Linked DNA regions of Canis lupus familiaris. The protein of the gene in region 2 binds, or shares a complex with, the protein of the main gene of each other region. Links are inferred from orthologs where the notes say so. Each region holds a gene or a part of one and is shown on either strand. Other genes may lie near its edges. The genes, in order: BRIP1, TOPBP1, PHF8 and GINS1.

What was found.
Region 1: the proteins of TOPBP1 (region 2) and BRIP1 are in contact, whole or in part, in a crystal structure (PDB 3AL3), measured with the Homo sapiens proteins. The link is inferred for Canis lupus familiaris from reciprocal best matches to the Homo sapiens genes TOPBP1 and BRIP1. Residues at the interface, in NP_008958.2 of Homo sapiens: Leu1272, Ser1273, Ser1274, Leu1275, Asn1276, Pro1277, Arg1280, Gln1298, His1311, Leu1313, Arg1314, Asn1315, Glu1316, Lys1317, Leu1319, Gln1366, Arg1407, Gly1410, Phe1411, Leu1414, Thr1466, Glu1467, Ile1469, Ala1470; in NP_114432.2 of Homo sapiens: Ser1129, Tyr1131, Phe1132, Thr1133, Pro1134, Glu1135, Leu1136, Tyr1137, Asp1138.
Region 3: the proteins of TOPBP1 (region 2) and PHF8 are in contact, whole or in part, in a crystal structure (PDB 7CMZ), measured with the Homo sapiens proteins. The link is inferred for Canis lupus familiaris from reciprocal best matches to the Homo sapiens genes TOPBP1 and PHF8. Residues at the interface, in NP_008958.2 of Homo sapiens: Gln1298, Cys1299, Arg1314, Asn1315, Glu1316, Leu1319, Arg1369, Ser1406, Arg1407, Gly1410, Phe1411, Arg1413, Leu1414, Arg1465, Thr1466, Glu1467, Ala1470, Asp1471, Gln1475, Asn1483, Tyr1484; in NP_001171825.1 of Homo sapiens: Gly842, Ala843, Cys844, Phe845, Asp847, Ala848, Tyr850, Ile851, Tyr852, Pro853, Ser854, Leu855, Glu856.
Region 4: the proteins of TOPBP1 (region 2) and GINS1 are in contact, whole or in part, in a cryo-EM structure (PDB 8OK2), measured with the Homo sapiens proteins. The link is inferred for Canis lupus familiaris from reciprocal best matches to the Homo sapiens genes TOPBP1 and GINS1. Residues at the interface, in NP_008958.2 of Homo sapiens: Leu490, Leu491, Ser492, Gln493, Tyr494, Glu495, Asn496, Leu586, Ser587, Arg588, Thr589, Val590, Val596, Cys601, Glu602, Val603, Ala605, Thr606, Val607, Gly608, Val610, Lys629, Pro636, Val637, Pro638, Val639, Met640, Thr641, Arg726; in NP_066545.3 of Homo sapiens: Asn43, Gln44, Val47, Asn48, Lys51, His66, Arg91, Tyr94, Gly95, Ser96, Asn100, Arg103, Phe104, Arg119, Ala122, Met125, Glu132, Gly133, Leu134, Asp135, Thr137, Gln138, Asp139.

The regions. Positions count from the first base shown.
Region 1 is NC_049230.1:34,938,303-34,945,480, reverse strand, and holds part of BRIP1 (Fanconi anemia group J protein), read right to left. Parts: intron 5,569-7,178; coding exon 5,486-5,568; intron 2,369-5,485; coding exon 2,045-2,368; intron 1-2,044. UniProt on the Homo sapiens protein: DNA-dependent ATPase and 5'-3' DNA helicase required for the maintenance of chromosomal stability. Acts late in the Fanconi anemia pathway, after FANCD2 ubiquitination.
Region 2 is NC_049244.1:31,034,461-31,041,375, forward strand, and holds the end of TOPBP1 (DNA topoisomerase 2-binding protein 1), read right to left. Parts: intron 2,762-6,915; coding exon 2,618-2,761; 3' UTR 1,905-2,617; downstream 1-1,904. UniProt on the Homo sapiens protein: Scaffold protein that acts as a key protein-protein adapter in DNA replication and DNA repair. Composed of multiple BRCT domains, which specifically recognize and bind phosphorylated proteins, bringing proteins together into functional combinations.
Region 3 is NC_049260.1:45,972,595-45,979,313, forward strand, and holds part of PHF8 (histone lysine demethylase PHF8), read right to left. Parts: intron 4,681-6,719; coding exon 4,657-4,680; intron 3,708-4,656; coding exon 3,371-3,707; intron 2,390-3,370; coding exon 2,305-2,389; coding exon of another isoform or gene 2,301-2,304; exon of another isoform or gene 1,310-2,300; coding exon 1,219-1,309; 3' UTR 1-1,218. UniProt on the Homo sapiens protein: Histone lysine demethylase with selectivity for the di- and monomethyl states that plays a key role cell cycle progression, rDNA transcription and brain development.
Region 4 is NC_049244.1:1,737,745-1,745,545, reverse strand, and holds the start of GINS1 (DNA replication complex GINS protein PSF1), read right to left. Parts: upstream 4,594-7,801; 5' UTR 4,442-4,593; coding exon 4,367-4,441; intron 4,222-4,366; exon of another isoform or gene 4,063-4,221; intron 3,500-4,062; exon of another isoform or gene 3,213-3,499; intron 2,075-3,212; exon of another isoform or gene 1,872-2,074; intron 1-1,871. UniProt on the Homo sapiens protein: Required for correct functioning of the GINS complex, a complex that plays an essential role in the initiation of DNA replication, and progression of DNA replication forks.

The DNA.
Region 1 (7,178 bases), on a different chromosome or scaffold from region 2:
GTTCCAACCCTCATGGATGACTTTGAGGGATTCAAGACTTCAGTGGAGATGTGGTAGAAATATCAAGAGAACTAGAATGAGAAGGGAAGCTTGAAAACGTGATTGAATTTCTGCCGTCTCATAACAAAACTTCAATGGAAGAGGAATTGCTTCTTACACATGAGCAGGAAGTGTTTTCTTTCTTTCTTTCTTTCTTTCTTTCTTTCTTTCTTTCTTTCTTTCTTTCTTTCTTTCTTTCTTTCTTTCTTTCTTTCTTTCTTTCTTTTTCTTTTTCTTTTTTTTTCAGGAAGTGGTTTCTTGAGATGAAAGCTACTCCTAGTGAAGATGCTGTGAAAATTCTTGAAATGACTACAAAGAACTTAGAATATTACCTAAAGTTAGTTAATAAAGTAGCAACAGGGTTTGAGACGACTGACTCCAATTTTATTTTTTGTTTTGTTTTAAAGATTTTACTTATTTATTCATAAGAGACACACAGAGAGAGGCAGAGACACAGGCAGAGGGAGAAGCAGGCTCCATGCAGGGAGCCCACTGTGGACTCCATCCCAGGACTCCAGGATCATGCCCTGAGCTGAAGGCAGAGGTCCAACTACGGAGCCACGTAGGCGTCCCAGACTCCAATTTTGAAAGGAAGTTCTACTTTTAAGTAAAACAGTATCGCATGCTGTAGAGAAATCATTCATGAAAGGAAGAGTCAATTGATGTGGCAAACTTCAATGTGGTATTTTTTTTTTTTTAAGAAATTGCTGCAATCACCCCAGCCTTTGGCAAACACCACCCTGATCAGTTAGTAGCCATCAAAACTGAGGCATGACACTCCACCAGCAAAAAGATAATGACTTATTGAAAGCTCAGATGGCTAGTATTTTTTAGCAATAAAATATTTTTAAATTAAGGTATATACATTATTTTTAAAGACAGTGTTATTGTACACTTAAGAGATTGTAGTATAATGTAAATATAACTTTTATATGTACTGTGAAACCAAAAAATTCACTTGAATTGCTTTATTGTGATACTTGCTTTATCGTGGTGGTCTAGAACCAAACCCACAATATCTCTGAGGTACGTATGTACTCAATTATGCTGTTCCAGTACAAAACATACTATGACTAAACTCTGCTGTTGTGTACCATACGTAACTGAATAGACATGACTATGTTCCATTAGACGTGCTTTATGAAAACAGATGGCCAAATTTGGTCCATAAGCCATAGTTTGTCAATCCTTGACAGACTATTCTTGTGTGTGTGTGTGTGTGTATTCTTATATGTGTGTGTGTATATATATATGTATATTTTTTAAAGACCTATTTATTTATTTATTTATTTGAGAGAACGAGAGAGAGCCCACACAGTGGAGGAGGGGCAGGAGGAGAGGGAGAGAATCTCAAGCAGACTCCTTGCTGAGTGCAGAGCCCTATGTGGAGCTCAATCTCACAACTCTGAGATCATAACCTGAGCCCAAACCCCCAGAGTCTGATGCTTAATCAACTGAACCACCCAGATACTCCTCTATTTTTTACAATTATTTTTTTATCATTTAGTATAAATGACTCATATTTACCTAAACTAAGAAATTCATGTTTTTTACTTGAATACTGCTCTTGTATCTATAAATAGACCAATTTTTATTATAGCTTTTAGAAAAATATCTACCATTTGTACAGTATATTTTACTATGCTGTGATATTTATTCATGATATTCATGATATTCATATTATTAGATCTTTACAGCCCATCCTAAGAGATAGGTGTGTATAGATTCTTTTTTCTATTAAGACTCAAAAAAGTTACATGACTTGCTCAGGTCACACAGCTAGGTGGTGGCAAACCTTGTGAGTGGAGAACTACAAACTATGCTTAGATCTCTTGACAAAAGTTTGTTCCCATTCCAATACACCATATTATTTTATTATTTTATGGTAACACTTTCTATTTCAAACCGTGTTTTAAAAAATTAATCTATAGCACAATAAATATCATTTCACTGGATATAATGAAAGACTTCTCTATCAAATGTAAATAGGCAAAACTTTTCAAACCTTTTTCCTTTTTGGAGATGATGCCTCTTGGTAGAGGTGGACTTTCAGTTATTGTAAGACACTGTTGTTCTTGGACACGTATTTTTGCTTCACCTTTCCTAGGATTTTCTGGTATTAGAGGACTTGCTGCTTCTAAGTAAGTTAATGTATTGTCCTTCAAACAGGTCACTTCAAGTATAGACTCACTGTCTTGTGTAAACTTTCTGTCCTCTTTGGATACATTAATGACCTTTTGGTGCTTTCTGGAAAAATCAGACAAGGACTCCAGTGCACTTTCAAAGGTTGAATGGTGCTGAATCTGCTGCCGTATCCATTTGGAAAGTCCTAAGGAAAAAAGTAAACCCAAGGAAGAAACTGTAGTTATTTAGTTTCTTAAGCTATTATGTTTTGGGGCACCTGGGTGGCTCAGTGGTTGAGCATCTGCCTTTGGCTCACTCAAGTCATGATCCTGGGTCCTGCAATCAGGTCCAGCATTGGGGGGCTCTACACAGGAAGCCTACTTATCCCTCTGTCTATGTCTCTGCCTCTTTCTGTGTCTCTTATGAATAAATAAATAAAATCTTAAAAAATATGTATTAAGAAAACACTTAGATCATTTTTCTAATGAAGTAATCCACATGAATTTAGGGTATATAGAATGATTCTCAGTATTTTTCCTGCCTAAACATCTTCACATGTATACTCTGCTCATGTATCAGTAACATTTTTCTTTATGTGCAGTGATTATCAACTGGAGGGAGGGAAGAGGCAGAGGGGGAAATGTATTATTTGTCAGTTTAGGATAACTGGGGAAATAAGGCAAATTTAATTTCATCATAATTTTCCACAAATAATGCCTGCTCTTTAATTTTAAGGAAACTAAAAGTTGTAAACAACAATCAACAGTCTTCCATTCCAACTTTCTAACTTTGACTTCCTTCACAAAAATAAATTCAAGATTCCTTTTTTGTTGCTCTTCTCCCCCAATTCCAAATGTCTTAAACTATCCAGGGAATGAAAAGAATAACAATGTTATTAGGGACAAATCATGTCCTGTTTGTATATTTATTACATAATTCTTTTTTAATATATAAATAACCAAGTTATAAGGGATAGGATTTGACCTGTGACATGCGAGTAATGTATAAACTTGAACCACATAAAAGTATAAGTGTTTTGTTTAATTTCAGAACGAAATTCAAAATCAGACATTTGGATTTCTAAAAAATAAATATTCTCTGCTGGTTGGTATTACTAAAACTATCATCATCTTCTGAAGTAGTTTAAAAAGTCACTATGGTATTTTAAGTTAGAAGAAAAGTAAGACAGGGCTTCAAGTTTCAAGTTGTAATTCATTCATTTCAAATACATTCCCCTTTAGTATTTTTTTTTTTAATGGAGCTTTTCTATATTTAATGCAAATCAAATGGAGTTCTATAGTTAATACAAACTGAATTTTTTAAAAAAAAGATTTTATTTATTTATTCATGAGAGACACAGAAAGAGGGAGAGACACAGGCAGAGGGAGAAGCAGACTCCTCACAGGGAACCTGATATGGAACTCGATCCCGGAATCACGACCTGAGCCAAAGACAGACACTCAACTGCTCAGCCACCCAGGCGTCCCTACAAGCTGAATTTAAACAAAGACTAGAAATCAAAAGGAATTTGTATGTTGTGCTATTACTGTCTCGATAAGAAGACTTCAAATTTTTATGAATCTCAGAAAAAATAAATAAAAACCATACAAAAATAATGAAAAATTCTTCATTTAAAATCTGTCAGGGATGCTTAGCTGGCTCAGTAAGTGGAGTATGCAACTCTTGATCTTGGGATTTTAAGTTCGAGCCTCACATTGGCTATACAGACTAAAAAAATACAATTTTTAAAAAAATCAAATTTGATCAGATAAAAATTTAACTTCAAGATTTTAAAATAAGAAAAACTTTTTTTCATATTTTGCATTTTTTAGTTGAAGTATAGTTGGCAAGAATAATATTTTAATTTTTAATTTTTTAATGATTTTATTTTTAAGTAATCTCCACATCCAACATGGGGGGCTCAAATTTACAATCCCAAGATCAAGAGTCACATGTTCTATCTACTGAGCCAGTCAGGTAGCCCTAGAAGCACATTTTAAATAAACATTTCCCTTAAAGTTCTTTATTTTTGTTAACTTGGAAAATAATTATAACAATTAAACAAGAAACTTTCTAAAATGGACAATTTTTAGTTATAAACTTCTTTCATGTTTGGAACTTTCTGTAATCAAAGAAAGCCTTTTTGGTGCAAAATGTCCATTTGCTTTTGAAAACACAAAGACTCTGAGCTCCATCTGCTGACTAAACATAAGCACTTAACATTTTTCTTTTAGTTATATCTGGACCTAAGCACAATGGCTTGCTTTACATGGAAAGGGCAGAAAAGACTAATAAAGCACTTGCTATTTTAAACCAGGTGGATACATTTTAATACCAAACCAAATATTAGGCTCTGGGATAGAAAACAAAGTCCATACCTACAGGTAGCTAATCTGAAAGAAACTTAAAATTCTGCATCTCTATCATTGTACGGTATGAACTTTTTAAGCTTTAAAGATAATACAGATGCAAGTATTCCTAACAGTTCTTTAATAACAGATGGATTCCTGGTATTGACTCTAAAGGGACTCTGACTACTGGATAGAAACTATAGGCACATAGTACTTGTTCATCTAAGTGGGCAAAAAATGACCATCTATTTCATCTTGAGACCCACATGGTGCTTTTTTTCTTTTAGAAAATACTAGTTCTGACTAACATAAACTGTAGAACAGCTGAAGCATATCTAAATAAACAATCAAACTTCAGTATATTCCATAATGAAAGAATAAGGAATTCTAAGCAGACAAAGGCGATTGCTTACATGCTTACATGTAAAAACTTATTTCCTGGAAAATTCATTTTTGTGAACAGCCTTTTTTTCCCCTTACAATGCTAAATACTCTGTTACTTAATTAAATCCTACATTCTATGAAACTGAAGGATCCTGATTAATACTATGTTAGTATCTAACCAGATTCTTCTACTTTTTTTTTTTTTATAAACACAAGCATTATTAAGGCTAGATTTCCCAACAATGTGAATTTTTCCAAGTTTGATTTAGTAAAACAAATTCTGTCCAAAATTTTTCTTTAAAACTAGTAGTTATCAAATGCCAAAGATCATTATTATTTCTTACTTTTTTTTCCATTTTTTTATTATTTTATTTTATTTTATTTATGACAGTCACAGACAGAGAGAGTGAGAGAGAGAGGCAGAGACACAAGCAGAGGGAGAAGCAGGCCCCATGCACCGGGAGCCCGACGTGGGACTCGATCCCGGGTCCCCAGGATCCCGCCCTGGGCCAAAGACAGGCGCTAAACCACTGCGCCACCCAGGGCTCCCTATTATTTCTTACTTTAAGCCCATCTGAGAATCTTACCAGATATATATCTACTGGGATTACTCCTGAAGCGATCATCCACTAGAATAAGAGCTCCCCAATCATTTTTGTGTCGAATACACCTATAAAAAGAAATAGGGAGAAAAATCAAACAAAAATAAACTTGAAAATAAAAACCAACAGGGTGCTTTGGTGGTGCAGTTGATTAAGCCTCTGGCTCTTCATTTTGTAACAGTTTGTGATCTCAGAATGGTGAGATTGAGCCCTGCACTGGGCTCCATACTTAGCAGGGAGTCTGCTTGAGAGTATTTCTCCCTCTCCCTGCCTTCCTACTTGTGCTCTCTTTCTAAAATAAATAAAGCTTTAAAAAAAAAGAAAAGCCAAATTTCTCATGGGACAGATAAAAGAATGAGAAAGTCAGTGATATATCAGTGGAATATTCCTTTAATCAAAGCTTTGCTATTATGAGCAAGGTTATAGAAATGGTTCAATATAATATACCAAAGTAGGTATATTAAAAAAACAATTGCCAACTATTGATGACTTATATTAAAAATGTTATATGCATTCTATTTTGAAAACCAAAATATTATTGAAAATATTTTCCAAAATCTTAGCCACACAGACTTTTTTTTTTTTTTTTAACCTTTGGTATCATATTAGTTGTAGATTTTATGTAAATGAACTTTGTTCTAGTTTAATGAGTTTTCATCATTAATGAATGTTTAATTTTGTAAAAAAGAAACCTCGGAAGTATCAATTGATATGATCATGTAGTTTTTCTTCTTTAGACTGTTAGCATGGTGAAGCACATTGGCAAAATTTCAAATAGAGGGCCAGACTTTCATTCCTTAGATAGTAACCACATGTTGTTATGGTGCATTATTCTTTTTACAGATTGTCATATTGGGTTTGCTAAAAAAATTTTTAATCTTAAAAATTATTCAAGGGCGCCTGGGTGGCTCAGTTGCTTAAGTGTCTGATTCCTGATTTCAACTCAGGTCATGATCTGAGGGTTCTGAGATTGAGCCCCCTGTCGAGTGGTGCCTTGGTGGAGAGTTAATGAGTATTAGGGTTGTTTCCACATTTTGATTGTTATGAATAATGCTGCTTTGAACATTTGGTACAAATTTTCATATGAATCCAACTAGGAGTGGAATTGGTAGATTGTACAGAATTCAATATTTAACTTTTTGAGGAACTACCACACTTTTTTTCTGAAGCACTTGCACAATTTTACATTCCTGCCAGCTTTGTGTGAGGTTTCCAATTTCTCCATACCCTCATCAACACTTATTATCCACTTTTTCATTATATGTTCTGTAGGAAATGTGAAGTATCATTTCACTGTGGTTTTGATTTGCAATTCCCTAATAACTAGTGATGCTGAGCATCCTTTCATGTGTATACTGGCCACTTGTATATCCCTTGGAGAAATGCCTATTCAAGTTATTAGCCCATTTTTGAATTGCATTATTTATCTTCTTATTGTTGAATTATAAAAGTTCTTTATATATTCTGGATGCTACACCCTTATCAGAAACACTTTTTGCAACTATTTTCTCCCATCTGTGAATATTTTCCATTTTTAGTAGCGTTCTTTGAAGAACAAAAGTTTTGACTTTGACAAAGCCCAACTTATCTATTTTTTTTTAGTTATGCTGCTGATGTCAGATTTAAGAAACCACTGCCTAATCCAAGGACAAAAGATTTACACCTCATTAGTCTTTGA
Region 2 (6,915 bases):
AATTACCTCCTTGAAAGCCTTATCTCCCAAGTGGTCACTTTAGGGGTTAGGCTTCAATCTCTGAATGTGTATGTGTGTGAAACAATTCACACAATCCGGCCTCTTCAATCTCCACGAGGAAGCATGCTTTCTAGGTAGTTTGCTCCTGGATCCCATGTACTAGTTTTTTTTTTTTGTTTGTTTTTTAAGATTTTATTTATTCATGAGAGACACACACACAGAGGCAGAGACATGGGCAGAGGGAGAAGCAGGCTCCACGCAGGGAGCCTGATGCGGGACTCGATCCGGGGACTCCAGGATCATGCCCTGGGCCGAAGGCAGGCGCTAAACCGCTGAGCCACCCAGGCGTCCCCATGTACTTGTTATATGCTAAGGAATAGCTGTTGAATAAATGAATGCTGGCCATCAGGCTGATGCACTAGAAAATTCATGGAGGAATGGAAGATTCTAATTTAAGTGTCATATTAAAATACTATAGCAATTCTGAGGAGAAACTAAGAATAATCAAGGAAAGCTTTTTTGTTTTCCTTAAAATGAAGGAAATCTGTGCTTAGATTATTTGCATGCGGTGCCTACCCGCATGGCTCAGTTGGTTAAGTGTCTGCATTTATAGGTCAGGTCATGATCTCAGGGTTCTGGGATCAAGCCCCATATTGGGCTCCCTTGTTCAGGGAGGAGCCTGCTTCTCTCTCTGTGCTCCCCCCTCACTCATGCCCTTTCTCTAATAAAATCTTAAAGAAATTATTTGTATGTATGGTCTTGCTGGATTTAGGACATTTATAGTCTAAGAGGGAAAGCCAAAGTTGAAATAATTGATATAAAGATTTTGGAGAATCAGGAGGAACAGTTGAGATCTGGAGCCTTAAAGTTTTAAAGTATGTATTTATTTACTGAAAAAACAGTTCATAATTTTGGCAGAAAAGCGTACATTATATAATTTTATCTGGGCTAGAGAGAAACAGGATCTAACATTTACTTTAACGAAAAATTTAAGTGATGAAATTCAGGGAAACATACTGCAAGATGCCACTGGAAAGATTCTACTCACACAAAATTGCCCTGGTAGAACCAGGCCATGTGATTTTGTTTGGGGAGGGACATGTTTACATGACAATGCTATCTATCCATTTGGCTGTACAGGAATTTTTGTTTTGAGCTGGGAATTTAGATCAAGGCCAAAAACTTTGAAGGGCCATTTATGAGGGGCTGTGATAACCCTACTATATTTCCCTACAGAGGAAGACTTTGAAAAAAAGGAGTTTTGTGTTCAGGTTAAGACTTTCGACCGTCACCATTTGAGTTTGCCTTCAAAGAATCTAGGAAATGAAAAAAAAAAAAAAGAATCTATGAAATGGGGACCATTTATATCTGGTTCCTCCTTTCAGCAAAATGAGGTAGCTTTACATTTAGAAGACTGTGGTAACACATGTAGCAGGGTGTTTAGGTGTAGCTTAATAAAGGCTAATGCAGTTTTGTAGTTCCAATAAACTTTTTTTTTAAACACAGTAATACAATATTCTAAAGTAACAAACATCAGAAACATAACTAGTAATAAATTTTTTTTTAAAGTTACTTATTTTATTTTATTTTTAATTTATTTATGATAGTCACCCAGAGAGAGAGAGAGAGGCAGAGACACAGGCAGAGGGAGAAGCAGGCTCCATGCAGCAAGCCTGACATGGGATTCAACCCCGGGTCTCCAGGATCGCGCCCTGGGCCAAAGGCAGGCGCCAAACCGCTGCGCCACCAGGGATCCCTAAAGTTACTTATTTTAGAGAATGGGCGGAGGGGCAAGAAAAGGAAGAAGCTGAGCCTGGAGCCCCCACTCAGAGCTTGAACCAACGACCCTGAGAAAATCAAGAGTCTGATGCTTAACTACCTGTACCACCCAGGTACCCCAGCGATTTTTTTTTTTTTTTTTTTGCGATTTGCTTTTTAAGCTTAATTTTACAAATCATTTATTGCTTCAACAAGACAATGAATACTAGGATGCTCTGTTCAAAAACTTATCTGAACAACTAATTTCAGTCACTACTTTTATTCTTTATTGTCTTTATTTTCCAAGTTTTGGCTCCCAAACTTGGCAAACATCATGGAGATCTGTACAAACATGCATATACATATATACACTAACACATATTTAAGTTTAAAGCCTCAGTTTCTCATTAAACCTTGTACTCAGGCTCCTGTTAAAAAGAGGGAAAGTGGTGAGAAGAATCAGGGAAAACACGAATAAATCTCAATCTACAAGCTCCTTATTGTTACAAATTAAAGCAGGCATTTTAAGGCAAAATCCATTACCTTGCTAAAACTTCACTAAGCTATAGACTCAGATATTTACAAGAAAATAAATAAACAGCCCCTTACACACTACAGTGTGGTTTAATGACAAGCCAGCCAAGGAGTTGTGTTTTGTTGTTATTTCAGGTAAAAACAGTTAATGTTTCAGTGATTAAAATTTCAGATGTTAAAAACTAACTACAAGCAAGATCATCATTATACTCTGAAGCTGAATGTTTCAGACACTTGTCTTTAAATTACTATGCAAATCCATGACCGTAACATTCAGGCTTTATAATTAAAATACTAATGTTTGGTGACTAAAGAGCAAACATGATTAGTTTACTCTAGGTCGTTTGATTTTATTTTTCTCTGTAGGAGCTTTCCTCTTCTGTGATAATCCAGGCCCAGGTTCCTTATTATTCTGAAGAAACGAAACTGCTTCTGGTAGACAGTAATTTTCTACTGGAGGAGGTGATTCCTATAAAAGAAGAAAATACATTGTTCATTTTTTTCCTTGACTATGCTTTTTAGCCAGAAAGACTTAAAATTTGTATTTTAAGGTATGCTAGGAATAGACCATACATGACAAAATCTCACCTTTTATCAGAAAAATTTATAGCTCAGGTGGAATAGGGCACGCTCAGACCTTGATAATGGTGTCATTTGTAGAGTAAGGTTAAGAAGTGACACCTTATACTTAGTGTCAACTTTTTTTTTTTTTTAATTTTTATTTTATTTATGATAGTCACACACACAGAGAGAGAGAGAGGCAGAGACATAGGCAGAGGGAGAAGCAGGCTCCATGCACCGGGAGCCCGACACGGGATTCGATCCTGGGTCTCCAGGATCGCGCCCTGGGCCAAAGGCAAGCGCCAAACCACTGCGCCACCCAGAGATCCCAGTGTCAACTTTTATTTTCAAAGATTTTATTTAATCATGAGACAGAGAGAGGCAGAGACATAGGGAGAGGGAGAAGCAGAGCCAGATGTGAGACTTGATCCCTGGACCAGGATCACACCCTGAGCCAAAGGCAGATGCTCAACCACTGAGTTACCCAGGCACCCCCCTTATTGTCAATTTTAAAAAATATTTTTAATCTGTAAACATGTGAGATAGGTGTTTCATATTCCCCATTTTACAGATAAGATAAAAAAGGCTAAATAACATTATATAACTAGCAGGTGGCAAAGCCAAAATCATTACAACACTGCCTCCAAAATCCTTGCAACAACCATATTCCAATTAAAATGAGCTTTCCCTCCAAGTGGCAGACTGGATAACATGAAAATGAATCACCATAAAACACTGGGTAAGTGCCTTTTGATTCAACTCTTCCCTGGATGACAACTTCCAACCCAAATATATTAAAGGCAACTATCACAAGACACTGGAGAGGAAATAAGATTAGGCAATATCAGAAGGGTTGACACTTGGTAGGGGGTCCGGTCTGAGGAGAAGTGTCATGTGGGCTGGCTAAACTAAGCCTCAACAGAAAGCAGGTAGTATTAATGGCCTGAAACCACAGCCACTGAAAAATGAGGTGGGAAATCCCAGGAAGGAGCAGGAGAAGCCCCAAACTCGGTCATGAACTCTGCCTCAATCTTTGCCCTCTCACCATGGAAAGGCAGAGGAGGCTTAAGCTTAAAGACTTGAGCCCCCCACTCACAGCAGCCGGTGCCTGTTAAGCAAACAGAATGGCATCCCCCTGAGGAACATAATAGAATCTAATTTTTACAACTTAAAATGTCTAGGATGCATATAAAATTATACAACATCTGAAGAACATGACCCATTCTCAAGAAAAAAATCTGAATCCAAAACCACAAAAAAGATGCAAAACTTAAAACACATGTATTGAAAATTACAAAATGTTCATGAAAGAACTTAAAGATGCCCTAAATCAGTAAGTTCCGGGATCAAAAGACTGAACATAGTAAAGATGTCAGTTCACTCAAATTAATCTGTAGGCTTAATGTGATTCATATCAATCATAGCAAGAGGTTTCTGTAGGCATATAAATACGGTTATCCTAAAACTTACATAAAAGGTATAGGCTCCGGAATGGCTAAAATGGTCTTGAAAAAGAAAAATAAAGAGGAATCACTAATATCAGGGCTTAATACATAAATCATAAATAAGATGCTATTGTAGAAGAAAAGATACCTAGATCAATAGACCCCCACAATATACCCAACTGAATTATGACAAAGGGCCAAAGCAACTAGATGGAGGATAGTTCTTTTATAGACCTTCTGAAACAGATTTTTTTTTTTACCTAAACTTCACACCTTATATGAAACCTCACACCTCATACATTTATGAAGTATACCAAAGATGTTCACTCTGACTAGCCATTAAGGACCTGCAAATTAAAACCACAGCAAGGGATTACTACATACCAAATGAAAAGGCTAAAATAATGAAGTAAACATGCCAATGAGGATACAGAAAAAACCGGATTGCTCATCTCATTGGTAGGAACGTATAATGTGACTATTCTGGAAACACACTGAAGCATTTATCTCAGAACAGTCTATATCTCCGCAGTGATCCTTCATTTTGTCTTTTTGGATTTATCTCAGTGCAATGAAATCTTATTTTCACACAAAATATGTGTACAAATGTTCACAGTAGCTTTTTTCAATAATAGCCCCAAAGTAGAAACAACCCAGATGTCCTTCAATAGGTTAATGGTTAAGCTATAGTATATCTGAACTACTCAGCAATAAGTAGTAATAAAATTACTGATACAAGCAACACATGAATGATTCTCAAGAGAAAAAAAAAACAATCCAAAAAGATTACATACTATATTGATTCCACTTAAAATTTAAACAACAGATTAGTGGTTGCCAGGTGTGAGACCCCTGGAAGAAGAGAATGAAGGGAAGGATGGGTCTAGTTAAGAAAACTCAAGGGATCCCTGGGTGGCGCAGCAGTATGGCGCCTGCCTTTGGCCCAGGGCGTGATCCTGGAGACCCGGGATCAAATCCCACGTCGGGCTCCCGGTGCATGGAGCCTGCTTCTCCCTCTGCCTGTGTCTCTGCCTCTCTCTCTCTCTCTCTGTGACTATCATAAATAAAAAAAAAATAAAAAAAGAAAAAAGAAAACTCAAAATGAAGGGTTGCTGTAGTGATAGACTGTTCTATATCTTGACTGTGGTGGCAGACACATCAAGTAGAAATGGAGAAATTGGAGTAAGTGTGGATTGCATCACGTCAATATCTCGGCTGTAATACTGTGTAATACTGCTAGATTTTTGCAAGATGTTATCCACTGGGGGAAACTGTTATTTCTTACAACTATATGTAAATCTACAATTCCCTCAAAATAAAAACAGTATATCTTGCTCATGACCCAGATGTTGGAAGTAGTAGACACACTATAGCTGCTCTTATCCTTGAAATGAAAAAGCAGAAAAACAGAAACTATAAAAAAAGAACCAAAGAATTCTATGTATAAAAAAATTTAATATCTAAATAAAAAATCTCATGGAGTAGGGTTAAGAACAGAATGAAAATACAGAAAAAAAATCAGTGAAGTTGGAAGCAGATAAACAGGATTTAGTTAATCAGAAAAACAGAAAAACTGCAGAGTAAACATAGTCTGAAGGACCTGTGGGACAATATCCAAAGGTATGAGTGATTAAATTCCCATAACTAGATGAAAGAATGGAGAAGTAATGGCCAAAATTTCTTTAATGTGGTGAAAGAAGTTTACAGACTAAAGAAGCTCTGCAGGGATCCCTGGGTGGCGCAGTGGTTTGGCGCCTGCCTTTGGCCCAGGGCGCGATCCTGGAGACCCGGGATCGAATCCCACATCGGGCTCCCGGTGCCTGGAGCCTGCTTCTCCCTCTGCCTGTGTCTCTGCCTCTCTCTCTCTCTCTCTCTCTGTGACTATCATAAATAAATAAATTAAAAAAAAAATAAAATAAAAAATAAAAAAAAATAAAAAGAGTAAAGAAGCTTTGCAGACACCAACCAGGATTACATTAACATAAAGAAACCACACCTGGCAATATCCTAAATGGTGAAAACCAAAGATGAAAATTCTGAACAGCAAGACACATACCCCACACACAATGACAAAGAGCACTGCAATATAGGAGAAGAATTCAAATTACCACTGACTTCTTATCAGAAACAATAGAGGCCAACAGAAAGTGGACTCTTTAAAATATAAGGAAAAACAGATATCAACTCCCAAATTCTATAGCCTTCAAAAAGAATCTTCAAGCATAAAGGTAAAATAGACACTCAAATAATTAACTAGAATTGGTCCCATCCGACTTGTAGTACAAACCAGTTTTTCGGGCTGAAGGAAAAGTGATACCAGTAGGATAAATATAAGACTGTATTCTTCCTTTTAATTTTCTCAAAACATAGGACTGTTTAAGCAATTTTTACTTTAAGGCAGAACACTGTTCTGTGGAGCTGTATTAGACCAATGTAAAATATATGACAACTCTACAGAAAGTTTGCTGGCCCCTGCTTTATGTTAAACGACCAGACATTAAATATTTCAGGCTGTGGGGAACAGATGGTCCCTGTTGCAACTACTCACCCCAGCTACTGTAGTGCAGAAGAGAGAACATATAAATGGCTGGAGCTGTGTGTTCCAGTAAAACCTTAT
Region 3 (6,719 bases), on a different chromosome or scaffold from region 2:
ATATTAAAGGTGAATAGAAATCCTCTCTCCCTACCCCCTATCCAACCACCAGCTCTGTGCTGGGGATTGGAGACCAGAGGGAACTCTCACCATGTTCTACACCTTAGTTACTACCACTCCCAATCCCTCTCCAACTCACTTCACTTAGAACCTGAAACATTAAAAAAAAAAAAAAGCATACTAGCCTCTTTGGAAAAGCATAACTCTGAGGGTAAACTTGCTTTTCATTTAAAACACAAAACAACAAACAGGAGTCTCTGAGAGCCCAACTAAACTAAACAGAAACCCAGTCAAATGGAGGTTGGGTTTTAGCTCCACAGAAACTTCTAACAAAGAAACAGAGGGGAAAGAGGCCTGGAACCAGGGGGATTTGCTAGCAATTAGCTGCCTTTGAAAGATCAAGTTGGGGGGGGGTGCTGTTAATGGGCAGAAGGGCTGGGGTCCTGGTCTTGGTTACAGCAGTCAGGGCCCAATCAGGCAGTTGCATATACAGGGACACAGGCTGCCCCCACTTCCCTCCCCTCACTACCCTCTGCTGCCTTGAAAACCCCAAGAAAGCAAAGCTGGGTGGAAACAGGAGAGGGATGTGGGGACCTCACGTGCTGGGGGGGAGGTAGCCAGGCTATTTGCCTTTGGTGTGACTAGATGGAGGGCTGCATGGCCCATGGGGTCCCCAAAATAAAAAAAAAGCAGATGGGTTTAAGGGACCCCTGATTCCAAATAAGGAGAGTAGATGTGGGGCTATAGAGAAAAGACAAACTGGAGACACAAAGATGACAAGGGAAACCACATACTCCTGTGGCCTGCATGGTAGCTGTTAAGTTCCCCAGAAGCACTGGGCAAACTGGGGTGAGGTCAGAGTGGGGAGTAGAGGGCAAGGATGCACTCCACTTGGGCAGTACCAAAATGGAGGGAGTGGGGTATTCTCCATCCAGACCAGGTTGCCAGGGAGGCAAGACAGGCAGTGGTGGAGGGAGGTGGCCGGGGAGGAGGAGGGAGAGGGGTTGGGCACTGTCTGAATGATAAAGACACCCACAAGGGGAAGATGGGGAGTGGAGGATCAGATGATCTGCTCCTTTACAGATGGGCATCTCTTCTTCCAGGCTCAGGTTCCTGAGTAACCCATCTGCACTCTGCTGGAGCTGTGACCTGATGTCTGGGAGTATAAAGGCCCAGACATGAAGATGTGTGTTTTGAGGTCTTCTTCAGACCAAGACCTTAGGTGGGGAAAGAAGCAGAGAGGCTCCTGATGGAGAACCCAGGGGTGAGCTGTCCTGTCACATCCTCTCCAGAAGGTCCAGGCTGTGCTCTGTGGTACAGGTAAAGAGAGCAGGCTGTACGCAGGGCCAGGGTTATCTGTTTCAGTGGTAGGAACTTTCAGACTTTTGGGAGATGGTTTTTCACCTCCTGGGGCCCAGATATAGCCACGTGGATAATGTTCTATTATCAGGACCTCAAAATCTAGGAAAATACCTGAAGCTCACCCGGGGACAGGGGACCTCATCTGTAGCCACCCAAAAGTAGCTTCCTCCAGTGGGCTACAAAGCCATGGTTAAAGGCTTAGGTGTTGGTCCTCTCTCCACCTTAAGAAGTGACAGAAATTTCTCTTCTTCTCAAAGATGAGTGAAGTCAGCCCATAACTTTTCTAGTCCACCTCTGAAAATGGCCCATGGTGGGGCAGTAGAGAGACTCTGGGCCCTCCTCTTTATTTTCATCAAGCATTTGGCAAAAGGGAGCAGGGCTAGACCCTTCTCCCAGGAACAAGTCTGGAATGGGACATGTCCGCTGGGTTGGGGAGGGGAAGGAAATATGGGCAGAGGTGGGCAGGCTTCTGGAAAACAGGGCTGGAGCTGTGGGAAGTGTTGAGCACTGGGCCTCCCACTTCATGACCTGGGAAATAGCAAGAGGCCAAGGCTCACTTTATGCCTCCCCTCAACCTGCCTTCCAGTTCTAAGTGGGGATGAGAGTAAAGGGCGGATGAGGCTGGTAACAAGAAAATGGGTTGGAGCAGCAGAAAAGAGGGTTCTAGTCAGCCAGAAAGCTCTCCCATTCACCTGCTACTCAGAGGTATGGAAAAGGAAGGCAGGATTCTCTAGTGGAAGTAGGGAAGGGAGTTAGGGGAATTGGTGAAGGGGCCCATAGGGGAGTCCATGCCTTTGGTCAGTTCCAAGAAAGCAGGACAATGCGCCTCAGCACCTTGTCCGGGGCAGACAGGATTCAGGAGTGCCCCAGAGAGTTGACTATGGAGAAGGCAATGGGGGTGAGGGGGTGAAGGGGTGAGGGGCAGGACACTAGGGGGCTCACAGAAGTAGTTTGCCATTTCTGTGGATTTTCAGGATACGGCCAAGTCTCTGCTTTGCTGTGGCCAGGCCCTTTTTAGGACGCTTTCCTGTGGGGAAAAGAGAGGTAAGTAAAGGCTATGGCATGGGCTTCAGCAGCAACTCCAGCACCAACTATCTTCAGTCTACCCAATTCCTCTGTTCCTCTGCCCACAGTCTCCCCATCCTTATGCTGCCTCCAGGCACACCTTGGGCAAGAAATCCTCCTTAACTATTTCCATCCAACACCACATGTCTTTGCTCTTCCTTCTATGACCTCCTGCAGCAGTTACCGAATCCCTGGTTAGTCTGTCTGGTTCCTTTCCCTCACTGATTTCTTTGGTCCCAATCATTTTCCTTCCTAAATTCTACAGGGCTGTGGTTATGCCTCCTTGTCCTCTTATCTTGATTACTGGGACTACACAAGTGCCTGGTTAGTGATTATAGCTCAATGTCCATGAAGGTGCCATCCTCAGGGCCTTGTTTCATTAGAAATTTTCATCGTCAAAAAAGAAAGAAAAGATAAAGAGAAAAAGAGAAAAGAAACCCCCATCCTCATCACCTGATGCCACACTGACCTCACCACCCTCGAGTGGCACACTCTAGGGACTGGGATTTGAAGGCCAAAGTGAAGAAAAGGAGGGCTTGGACACCCCTCCCATCGCCTCTTCCTCTCTCTCCCCACATCAGATCATCTCTCATGACCCATGTGACCTCCTCCATATTTTATCAATTTATCCCCTCCTTCCTCTCCATTTCTGCTATAGCCCCAGTCTCTCTTCACCTGAACCTATGCAGATGTCCCCTCTCTAGACTTCCCACCTGCAGTCCACCCTCTACTCTGGTCACCAGAAGGTTCTTTCTAAACCCACATCTGAAACACCTCTGTGTAACACAGTTAATGTCTCTTCATGGCCTAAGAGTTCAAATCCAAGCACCTTAGGTTAGCTGTCTGTGTCCCTCCCAAGTATTCTCATCTACCAGAGTGCTCAGGATTTGGAGCTGGTGACCCTAAGCTCCTTCTCAGTTTTGCAACCATGTGGCAGTCGTACCTTGTCCTGCTTGATTGCTCTGGGAGCCAACTGAAGGGCGCCGCTGGGTCAAGAAGACGCCAGGGGCCATGGGTGTGGTGCTGCGGTTTGCCTGGGCCATACCAAAGGCATTGGGACGAGCAGTATATTCATGGTCAGCAAGACTTCCTGAGAGGGCCTCTTGTTTAGGCTCAGGAGGAGGCGGCGGGGAGGTGGAGGTGAGAAGCTGGGGTGTAGTGGCCAGAGATGGAGCTGGTACTGCCACAATGAGGTTGGACTCCTGAGGGCGAGGCTGTTCTACCTCCTTCAACAAAGGCTTCTTCTTAATATATTTCTTCTTTTGGGCCTTCTGTAGCTCCTGAAATATAAGCCGAGTGGGAGGGGAAATTCAGGACTGGAGGAAAGAAAAGAATTGCCCAGAAAGGAAACTAGACACTGGTCAATGTGGTCCTGCAACCCACCCCCACCCCAAGTCTAGCCTGGACGTATGTACACACAACACAGGCCTAACACCTGAGATCAACTCTTTGGGACCATCTATCCTTAAGTTATCACTGCCACTAATCAGTACAGTGGTACTGAAAGGAAAATGAATTCAGAGACTTGAGTTTTGGTCCTAGCACTGTCATTTATGAGGTGGACCATGGATACTTCTAATAAGAATAGCTAAATTTATGCTAGCAGCTAAAGCCCTTTATACAGTTGACCCTTGAAAAATGTAGAGATTAGGGGTACTGACCGCCCCCCATGTGGGCAAAAATCCCACATATAACTTCTGACATCCCCAAAACTTAATTCCTAATAGCCTACTATCGATTGGAAGCCTTACTAATAACATAAACAGTAGATTAACATATATTTTGTTATGTTATCTGTCTTCTTACAATAAAGGCAGAGAAAATAAATTATTAAGAAAATCATAAGGAAGAGAAAATGCATTTACAGTACTACTGTAATAAAATCTATGTACAAGTGGACCTGTGTAGTTCAAACCCATGTTGTACAAGGGTCAACTGTATACTTTACTTCATTAATTCCTCAGAGTAGCCACGAGAAGGAAAATCCCTTAGTTTATAGATAAGAAAGCTGAGGTGCAGGGATATTAAGTAAGTTGAGCCCAAAGCCTCACAGGTGAAGAGTTGTTGGGTCCAGGATTTAGCCAGGCCTATCTGAATACCCACCCTGCACACTTCTCAAAGAGGGTCCTCTGGGAGTGAAAGAGCAGTAACTTTGGAATTAAAGAAAAACTTGGGTTCAAATCTAGGTTTGTGCTCCCTGGGTGGGATGACTTCAGTCAAGTTACTAACCTTTGTGAATCTCAATCGCCTCATCTGTAAAATGGGCAAAATAAATCTGTTTTTCAGGGTTGTCAGGAAGAATAAAATGATATAAAAACACATAGCACATAGTAGGTACTCAACAAGTAGTAAACTATTACTCTATCTTCATTACTTTTACAATGGTTTTCCTCCTCTTGCTGGTCTTTTCTTTTCTTTTTTTTTTTTTTTTTTTTTTTTTTGCTGGTCTTTTCTTTTAATGGAGGACTTGACAATCCTCCAGGTCAGTGGGTCTTAAAAGCACAATTCTGGATGGGAAGGAGGAATAAGGAGTTATGTCAATTCACCCAATATCTTGGATTTCATCCATCCATTGTTCTATGGATCTGCTATCCACTACGTAGCGGGTACCTATATAGTGGGCATCTGGAGCCCTGAGAACCTGGAAAGGTAGTCTGAGAGCATGTGAACGACTTCACCTTCTGAAATGCTACACAGCCACACAAACCAACTCAGTGATTACATTTCTTTGCCTTGGCAACACAGGCCTATTCCTGCCTTCGGAAGATCTGACAGGCTGTGGCTACCATAGGAATTTCTGGGGGACAAGAATAATAATATTAGTAATACATGCTAGGTACTGTTCTATAATTTAACTCATTTAATACTCAAGAAGTATGAGAAGAAAGAGTTAAAATCCCATTTTTAGGAGAGGAAATTGTGGCAGAGAGAGATTAAAGCATTTTCTCAAGGGTATAGGATCATGATGTGACCAAGTTGGGATCCAGACCTAAGCCATCTAGCTTTAGAATCTTTTTTCAACCTTACTGCTGTTCCACCTATACCAGAAACATTTCTGCCCCCATTTCTCTCATCTGAATCCAGAAATTAACCATTCACACCTAGGTGACATAGCCTACATTTTTCTTTAAAAAATTTTTTTTAGCCTACATTTTTCTATCTTTGTTGTCATCTCCTTGTATACTTCATCCAGATTCCCTCACTGAACATTAGGCTGTCTGAGGACAGGACAGCTTACACCTTGCACATTTCCTTGCTCAAAAACCTGTTAGTAGTCTGACATTCATGGTCCTCCATGGTCTTATCATTCATACTTTCCCAACTCACAATGATAACCCCGGAAAACTAACATGTCTATAGTATTTACTATGTGGCAAGTGCCATTTTCGGAGCTTTGCCACACATTATCTCATCTACTCCTCAAAGTTTATGAGGAAACTGAGGCACAGAGAAGTCAAGTAACATGCTGAAGTGGTAGAGTGAGGATTCAAACTCAGGCAGGCTGGCTCTACAATCCCTTTTTTAATCTGAATTTATCTTACCCCCTTGCCCAACCTGAAGCCTCTAATCCAGAGGGACCGGATCATTCATTCATGCATTCATTCGTTCACAGGCCCAATAAAGACTAAAACACATGTTTAGTCTAGTGGGGATATCAAGTTAAATTACATATATCCCCACCCTTGAGGCACTCACAGTTTAAAAAGGGATACAGAAAGGCATACTCTAAGTACTAGGAGAGAATACCAGAGAGGCACAGAAGGTTCCTGAAATAAATTGGTGGTAGGTGGTATGAAGGAGTGCATCTAAAAGGCATCTAAAAGGGAGGATCCCTAGTGGGCAGAGGAAACAATCTTGCAAAGGCACAGGGGCATGAGGCAATGGGATATACACTAAGTGAACGACAAACACCGTGGTACAACAGTATGGCTGGTGCAAAACATGTGCATGCAGGGCTGTGGGGAGGCTGGGGAGGAGAAGTGAGCAGAGGTCAAATTAAGAGGACCTTGTGTGCTTTGCCAAGGATTTCCCTTCTCCTGGAATGCCTCCCTGTTTCCTTCTAAAAGCTTAGCCTGCAAAACCCCTCCCAAATTTCAAATTGCTCAATTCTTTGAGCAAACCGAAGTGAGCTCCTTAGAAGGCACCCAAAGTAGTTTTCACACCTTCAATTATCTGTTTATTTAAAAGCCCCCCTCCCTTTTATTTCTAAATTACATCTTATATGGCACTAGGATGTACATAACAGAGAATTTGTGATCAAAGTGGCCTGCCTGGACTGCTTGCTCTCTGCT
Region 4 (7,801 bases), about 29 Mb from region 2:
AGATACAAAGGAATACATACTGTATGATCCCTGCTGGCCCTTTATAGAAAAAGTATGCATCTCCTGGCACACTGAATCTAGACCCTCCCCCTCAAAAAGACAAATATAATCTGTAGTCACAGAAAGTACATCTGTGGTTGCCTAAGGCTGGAGGTGGTAGGGAGCCACAGAAAGGGAGAAGGGAATTCTTGGGGTGACAGAAATCTTGACTGTGGTGCTGCTTACAAGGACGTACACAGTTGTAAAATTAAAACATTCTGCTAAATTTTATTTTGTTGTTATAAATTAGTATCTCAATAAAATTAACCACAAAAAAACCCACACAACAGTCCTATATAGAAGCAATAAGGCATGACAAAAGTATGTAAATAACTTTAATGAAAACAGATCTCAAAAGATTACTACAAAAAACAAACACTTGGGATCCCTGGGTGGCGCAGCGGTTTAGCGCCTGCCTTTGGCCCAGGGTGCGATCCTGGAGACCCGGGACTGAATCCTACGTCGGGCTCCCGGTGCATGGAGCCTGCTTCTATCTCTTCCTGTGTCTCTGCCTCTCTCTCTCTCTGTGACTATCATAAGTAAATAAAAAAATTAAAAAAAAAAAAAACACTTTTGGTTTGCAACAATGGAAGGACCAAAGGAATTTCTCTACTACCTATCTTGGACAAATTTTTTAAAGATTTTCCTTTGGAAGGATACAAACATTAAAATTTTGGAGTTCAAAAACATTACACAGTAGGTAGTCAGCAATCCAAAGATAAGTGACCCAACTATTTTTAGGGCCAACATATATGTATTAACAAAAACATTTTAGCATTATTAATATAACTACAAAACAACTTAACCCTGTTCAAACATAAGAAAATACATAATTCCCAATAAAAAACCTAAGCATGACCTCTGTCTTCCCTTTCATTAAGTAGTTAAAAAGAGAGCATGGAGAAGTCTGATTTATTAGAATTCAGTTAAATAGGGGTGCCTGGGTCACTCAGTCGATTAAGCATCTGCCTCGAGCTCGGGTTATAATCCCAGGGTCCTGAGATCAAGCCCTGCATGGGGCTCCCTGTTTTGTGGGAAGCCTGTTCCTCCTTCTTCCTCTGCCTGCTGCTTCCCCTGTTTGTGCTCTCTGTCAAATAGATAAATAAAATCTTAAAAAAAAAAAAAAAAAGAGAGGGATCCCTGGGTGGCGCAGCGGTTTGGCGCCTGCCTTTGGCCCAGGGTGCGATCCTGGAGACCCGGGATCGAATCCCACGTCAGGCTCCCGGTGCATGGAGCCTGCTTCTCCCTCTGCCTGTGTCTCTGCCTCTCTCTCTCTCTCTATCATAAATTGAAAATAAAAGAAAAAAATATTAAAAAAAAAAAAAAGAGAGACAGACACACAGATGCCTGGTGGCTCAGTGGTTAAGTGTCTGCCTTCAGCTGAGGGCATAATCCTGGAGTCTCAGGATCCAGTCCTACACTGGGGTCCCCTCAAGGAGCCTGGTGCTACCTCTCTCTGCCTATGTCTCTGCCTCTCTCTGTGTGTCTCTCGTGAATAAATAAATAAAATCTTAAAAAAAAAAAAGAATTGTTAAATATTTCTTTTATCAGCAAATAATATTTTAAGGAATAGCTGAAACTCCTGCATGATTAATAGATCTACAGGTATACAAAAGATGTGTAAAATAGTTCTATAAAAATAGACAATTTTATAAAAATGATTTCATATTTAATTTTTTTTTTTAAATCTGTAGTGAAAAATTGCACTGTTTTGTATTCCCATGTCAGGCTGGGAGCCTACGGTAATTTTCCTAAAAACTCACTTAAACTATTACCAGTTCTGCATATAGAAAGTGGACAATCATTTCAATTTGCTGAACACAGCAACTAACCTTGAGAGATCCTGGAATGAACAAGGCAGAGTTCCTGCTCTAAATCCAGTGACTATCATCTTCCTGGGAGGAATGATTCTTGAAGAGTCATGTGGGTAATGGGCCTATCAGCCCTCAGATCAATCAGATGGATTGGCCTGTCCCTGCTTGGCTGTGTCAGAGCAGCCAGCCTCCCTAGGCTGAGTCTTCCAGGCTACTGAGTCAGTCACCTGGCTGGCAGGTGGGTCTGTCAGTAGAAGGTGCATGTGCAAAAGGTGCTCTGCCAAACTAAGACCTAGAAAAAGGAGTGATTTTATAACTTCTAAGTCCCGCCCCAGCTCTCCCAAAAGTGGTAAACCAACACTTAAAATTTGTGTGAAACAGAGAGCTGGATGGACTAAGGGTCTGAAGAGCCAGTTGCAGGGCTGGTGTGGCCAGTTTCTGCTGACAAGCCTGTGCCTCTTTGGGCTTATTTCCTCTTATGTTAGATGACCTTCAAAGTGCCCAGCTGTCTGACTGCAGTATGGAGTCATATTTTACAGCCTACACACCTTGGCATTCCAGAATCTCTGAACTTCCCACTATTGTCTCCTAGCTTTTTAAATGAGGTAACTGTTCTAAAAGAACAGTAATCTAGGAAACCTGTGTCGGAGGTGAGGCTCTGCTCCAATATGCTGTATGTTCAGACAGTCCCTTAATTGATCTTTAATTTCTCTTGGCTCAGTCTCATCTGCAAAATGACCTGTTTGACCAGGCGCTTTTTAACGTTCAAAACAAAACTCAGGGCAGCCCCAGTGGCTCAGCAGTTTAGCGCCGCCTTTAACCCAGGGCATGATCCTGGAAACCCGGGATCGAGTCCCACGTCGGGCTCCCTGCCTGCCTGCCTGCCTGTCTCTCTCTCTGTCTCTAATAAATAAAATCTTAAACAAAAAAAAAAACAAAAAAACCTCACCTTTCCCTAAACACTTCTCCTGAACTCTGATGTTGTAACTCAGAGAAAATCCCCCCAAGACCCTCTGATTTCTCCCTTTCATTCATTACCCACCCCATCTCCACTCCTGTTCTAGCAGGTGTAAGTCCTACTTGCCTTGTCTCAGAAACCCAGACACTGATTTGTGGGCCCAGTGACCAGACATAGTTTGGATCACACCCAGCTCTTACAGCAGGTCTGAGAGCGATCAGAACCACCCATAACCATCTCCCTGCCACCATTCTTCCTTGTTTCCAATCTGTTCCGCATCGTGCTGCCATCATTATCCTCAAAACATAAAACCTTCCCTAACACTCCCCTGTCTAAAATCCTTTACTGGCTTCCAAATGCCTTATACGTGAATACCCGGCGCTCCTCCGCCTAGAACACACCTTTGTAGCCTCTGCACACCTCAGTCACTCCTTCCTACGTGACCATGGGTCTCTGTGCGGCTGTATCCTTGGGATGCAATGCCTATCTTCCTTCTCAGGGTGGGGATCTCATCCTTCCAGGCGTGGGCCAAATGCCCCCTCCTCGACGCCAGGTTCATCCCAGTATTCCTCCTTGTGCTCCTATGTACACCTCTCTGGTGTCCTCACGGTGCATCCTAATACTCTTTGTGCCCCTGTCCCTGGCAGGGGAGCACATGCCCTGGCATCCACCCAGCCGCTGCCCTATGCTGTGGAAGGTAGACAAGTGTAGAATTTAGAGTCCAGATCCGGAGCCGGACTGCAAGGGTTCAAATCTTAGTTCCACTTCTTGCTGGCCACGGGCACGATACTCAATCTCCCCAAGCCTTTGTGTACAGGGCTGGAAGAAATGCTTTAAATCTCAAAGGGTTCTTAGGAGAATAACAATAACAGAGGCCAGGTGCTTAGTACCCTGTCGGGGTAAGTAACAGACACATATTATTAGTAACAAGTCGTAGCAGCAGCCGTGGTAGAAATAAGTACAAAACACGGACTTCGCCGCTACTGTCGGGCACAGGCCGGAGAACCTGGGCTGCGCCGCCCTTAGGAGCCCTCACGCTTCCCCATTTTTTGCACAAGACAAAGCCGGCACCGAAAGCTTGCGGAACTGCCCGAGGCCCCACGACGCAGTCAGGGTCCCCGCCTGGCGCAGAGGCCTCGCTCCCGCCCGAGCGCGCAACAAATCTGGATTGTCACCGGCACCGAGAAACGCTCGGTCAGACACAAAGCCCCGCAGTACTGCTCTGCGTGGAAAACACGGGGGGAAACAGACCCAGAGAATTCACCAACTCGCTGGCAAAAACAGGGGTGCTCTCTTTTTCCTGCTAAATCTTGCTTTCCCGTGTTCCAAAATGTCTGTTTCCGACTTCAGAGCAGGCCCCGCGAGAAAACCCGGCCTCCAAGATCTCAGGATCCAGTCCCACATCCGGGTCTGCAGGGACAGGGCAGAACCCCAGGGTCGCCTCCCCTCCCCGGCCCCGGCCCCGGCCCCGGCCCCGGCCCGGCCCCGGCCCCGGCCCCCGCCCCCGCCCCGGCCCCTCAGCAAGACTAGCCCGCTTCCCCGCGTCCTCCCTCACATTGAAGGCCGGCAGCTGCCCTTCTGGCGCGCGATGCAGCTCGCGGACCAGTTCCATGGCCTTCTCGCAGAACATAGCCTACGCGCTCCGGTCCCGAGGCCCACGTCGACCGCCGGCTCTCACGCCAACAGTCGCCGGGGTCACGCACGCCGCCCGGGGCTCCCACGGTTCCCGGTCCCACAGCGGCCGACACTCGCCTCCGCCCGGCTCTTTGGCGCCAAACACGCCCAACCAATAGAAACGCGCTCTGGGCCTCGCGGCCTACGGCGGCGGCCAAGGGACAGTTGCCGCCGCCGCGCAGCCGCACTCTAGGAGGGGCGGAGGCGGGGGGTGGGTGCCGCGTACTGCCCCAGGCCGGCTCCCCGGCTGCGATCCACCTGGTCTGAGCAGACTCGCAGCTCGCGATGGATGCTTATCTCGCAACTTCTTTTTTCCATTTATTCATTCATTTTTATTTATGACCAAGGGGGTTCACTCTGAGGTTGAGAAGGAACGCTCAGAAACTGGGTGTGCTTTAATCTTAGGACATAGCATTTCGTTTTAGTTTTGCAGGTGGGTTTTTGTTAACTAGAAAAGGGGAACCAACTCTTATTGGGTATCTCCTGTGTGGTAGGGGCTGTGACATTCATTTAATTCTCATGATTAATCGTCAGGTGGTGCTTCTAAGACTCTTGGTACTGATTAGAAAGCAAGATATGTAACTTCTTTTTCTTCGAGTAGGCTCTGAGCCGACCCTGGGGGCTCGCACCCGGGACTGACTCAGCCAGGGAGCCAACAACAGAACTTCCAAGGTCACGCCGCTTCTCAAGTTACTGACTTTTTTTTTTTTTAAAGAAGAGCTTTATTTATTTTTTTAAAGATGTTTTATTTATTTATTTATTTATTTATTTATTTATTTATTTATTTATTTATTTATTTATTTATAGTGACACAGAAAGAGAGAGAGAGGCAGAGACACAGGCAGAGGGAGAAGCAGGCTCCATGCAGGGAGCCCGACGCGGGACTCGATCCACGGTCTCCAGGATCACGCCCTGGGCCGCAGGGAGCGCTAAACCGCTGCACCGCCGGGGCTGCCCAGTCAGACTTTAGATTTAAGATTGCAACTCCCAGTACCACCTTTGATGTTAAAGGAGTAATTTTATTTATTTTTTTTTAAGATTCTTATTTATTCATGAGAGACACACAGAGAGAGAGAGAGGCAGAGGGAAAAGCAGGCTCCATGCAGGGAGCCTGACATGGGACTCGATCCTGGGTCTCCAGGATCAGGCCCTGGGCCGAAGGAGGCACTAAATCGCTGAGCCACCTGGGCTGCCCAAGGAGTAATTTTAAAACGCTTTTAAAATAACTCTAATCACAAAGTCTACAGAAGGGGAAAATACCCTAGATTAACACAAATTCACACAGCCATAATCTTACCTACATGATTACGGAAATTTTCATAACCGCATAGATTTGATTCTATCAAAGAAATGACTGCTATACAAACGATTTGTTTTACTTGGCTACCTTTTACAAAGCAATATTTTTAAAAAGGTAATATTACTGGATTCATTCCAGCTAACTCTAGAAACCTTCTCTTTTGCAAATATATATACAATAGATGTGTAATCTGGAGAATGAGCATGGGAATGGCCTACAAAGCCTTTGAATCTTTAAATTAAGTGAAATTTCCTTTTCAGCTCTACAGTAAGGCATAACTTACCTAAGTGTTATTAAATACACAGATCTGTAATGGACTGTGCTACAGGATTGCATGCCAAAAATCGCCAGTATCCACAACCTTCCTGTGTCATAAACCTTTTTAATTTCAGGTCCTTACCTATACAATGGGGCCAACGGTATGGACTTCTGAAGGGTTGTAATGACTCTTTACTCCTTCAGCAAATATTTATGAAGTGCCTACTATATACTGCGCATTGTTCTAGACACTGAATATAAAGTAGTGAACAAAGTTCTTGTTCTCAGAGTCTATGTTCCAGTGTGGGATACAGATATATTGATGATAAATTTATTAGTTTAGTGCTAAGAAAAATAAGCCAGGGCAGGTAAATAATTCTGTAGTCAGTGATGATGAGAGGATCTGAGGGTTTGGAGTTAGTGTTCAGAGAAGGCACAGACCTGTAGTGGGGAGGGAATAAACCATGTGCAGGTGGGGCCATAGGATAGGCAGAGAATTACACGTGCAGCAGGAATGCAAGTGCAAAGGTCCCAAGGAGGGGGATTGGGTGACTCACACAAATGCCAACCATACCTCTCCGGGGCCCCTGCATCAGCAAGGAGGCAGTGACACTGGAGCAAAGTAAGGGAGGGAGGGACTCCTGGGTGGCTCAGGCTCCCCTCAAGGAGCCTGCTTTTCCCTCTGCCTATGTCTCTGCTTCTATCTCTCACGAATAAATAAATAAAATCTTAAAAAAAAAAAATGTAAGGGAGGGAGACTCTAGTGGCTGAGATCAGAATGAGGGCTTGAGGCCATGCCAGGTAGGACCCTGTAGGCCCTATCATAAGCTTTCTGTTTTAAAGAAAACTTGAGTGAGTTGGGGAACTATATATAGGTATTTTTGAGCAAAACAAGTGACAGGACTGGACCTACATCTTTACATGGACCTTTCTGACGGCAAAGTAAGCAAAAGTTGGCAAAGGTGGAGGCAGGAGACCACTTATTAAAATTATTGTTAAAATAATTCGAGTGAGAGAGGATGGCAACTTGGCCCAGCATGTGGATGGAGGAGGTGGTGAGAAGTGGTTGCATCCTGGATAGATTTTGAAAGGAGTGCTGAATCAGGCATAAGAAGATTCAAGGATGATCCCAGAGTTTTGGCCTAAGGAAATGCAAATACAAGGCTACCATTCCTGAAGCAGGAAGGTTACACATGGAGTAGGGGTGGGGAAAGAGTTGGGAGCTCAGCTTTGAACATAACTTTAGGTGAAATGAGTGAATGAGTAAACCATTAGAGGAACCTGCAATTCAAGGAAGGAGTGTGGACTAGAGATACAATGTGGGTGTCATCAGTGTAGGGTTGTATTTAAAAACAGACCACATGGACAGTGAATGTGGAATATCAGAGAGCAAGAACTTCCTGTCCCCTTCTAGGTCCTCTTCTGTATTAAGAACCAAATTGCTATAGGACAGATTAATAGGAGAAAATCAAACTTAGTTTCCTGCCTACAGGAAATTCACATTGATATGGAAATTCCAAGGACAATTGGGCAAAATAAAGTTATATATTATCTTGAACTAAAGAGAATCCGGTAGGGGTCTGGGACTTTGAAGGGAAAGAATGCAAGTCACAGGCTGAAGTCTGGTAATTAAATGCTTGCCTTGCCATATAGATGGGTCACTCAGGTAAAATTTGTCTCTGGTAATAAACATTATTCTGGGAAAGACTCCAATTTAGATTCTCCTGTGTAGTTAAGGGAGGGACAAAAAGCTTCTTC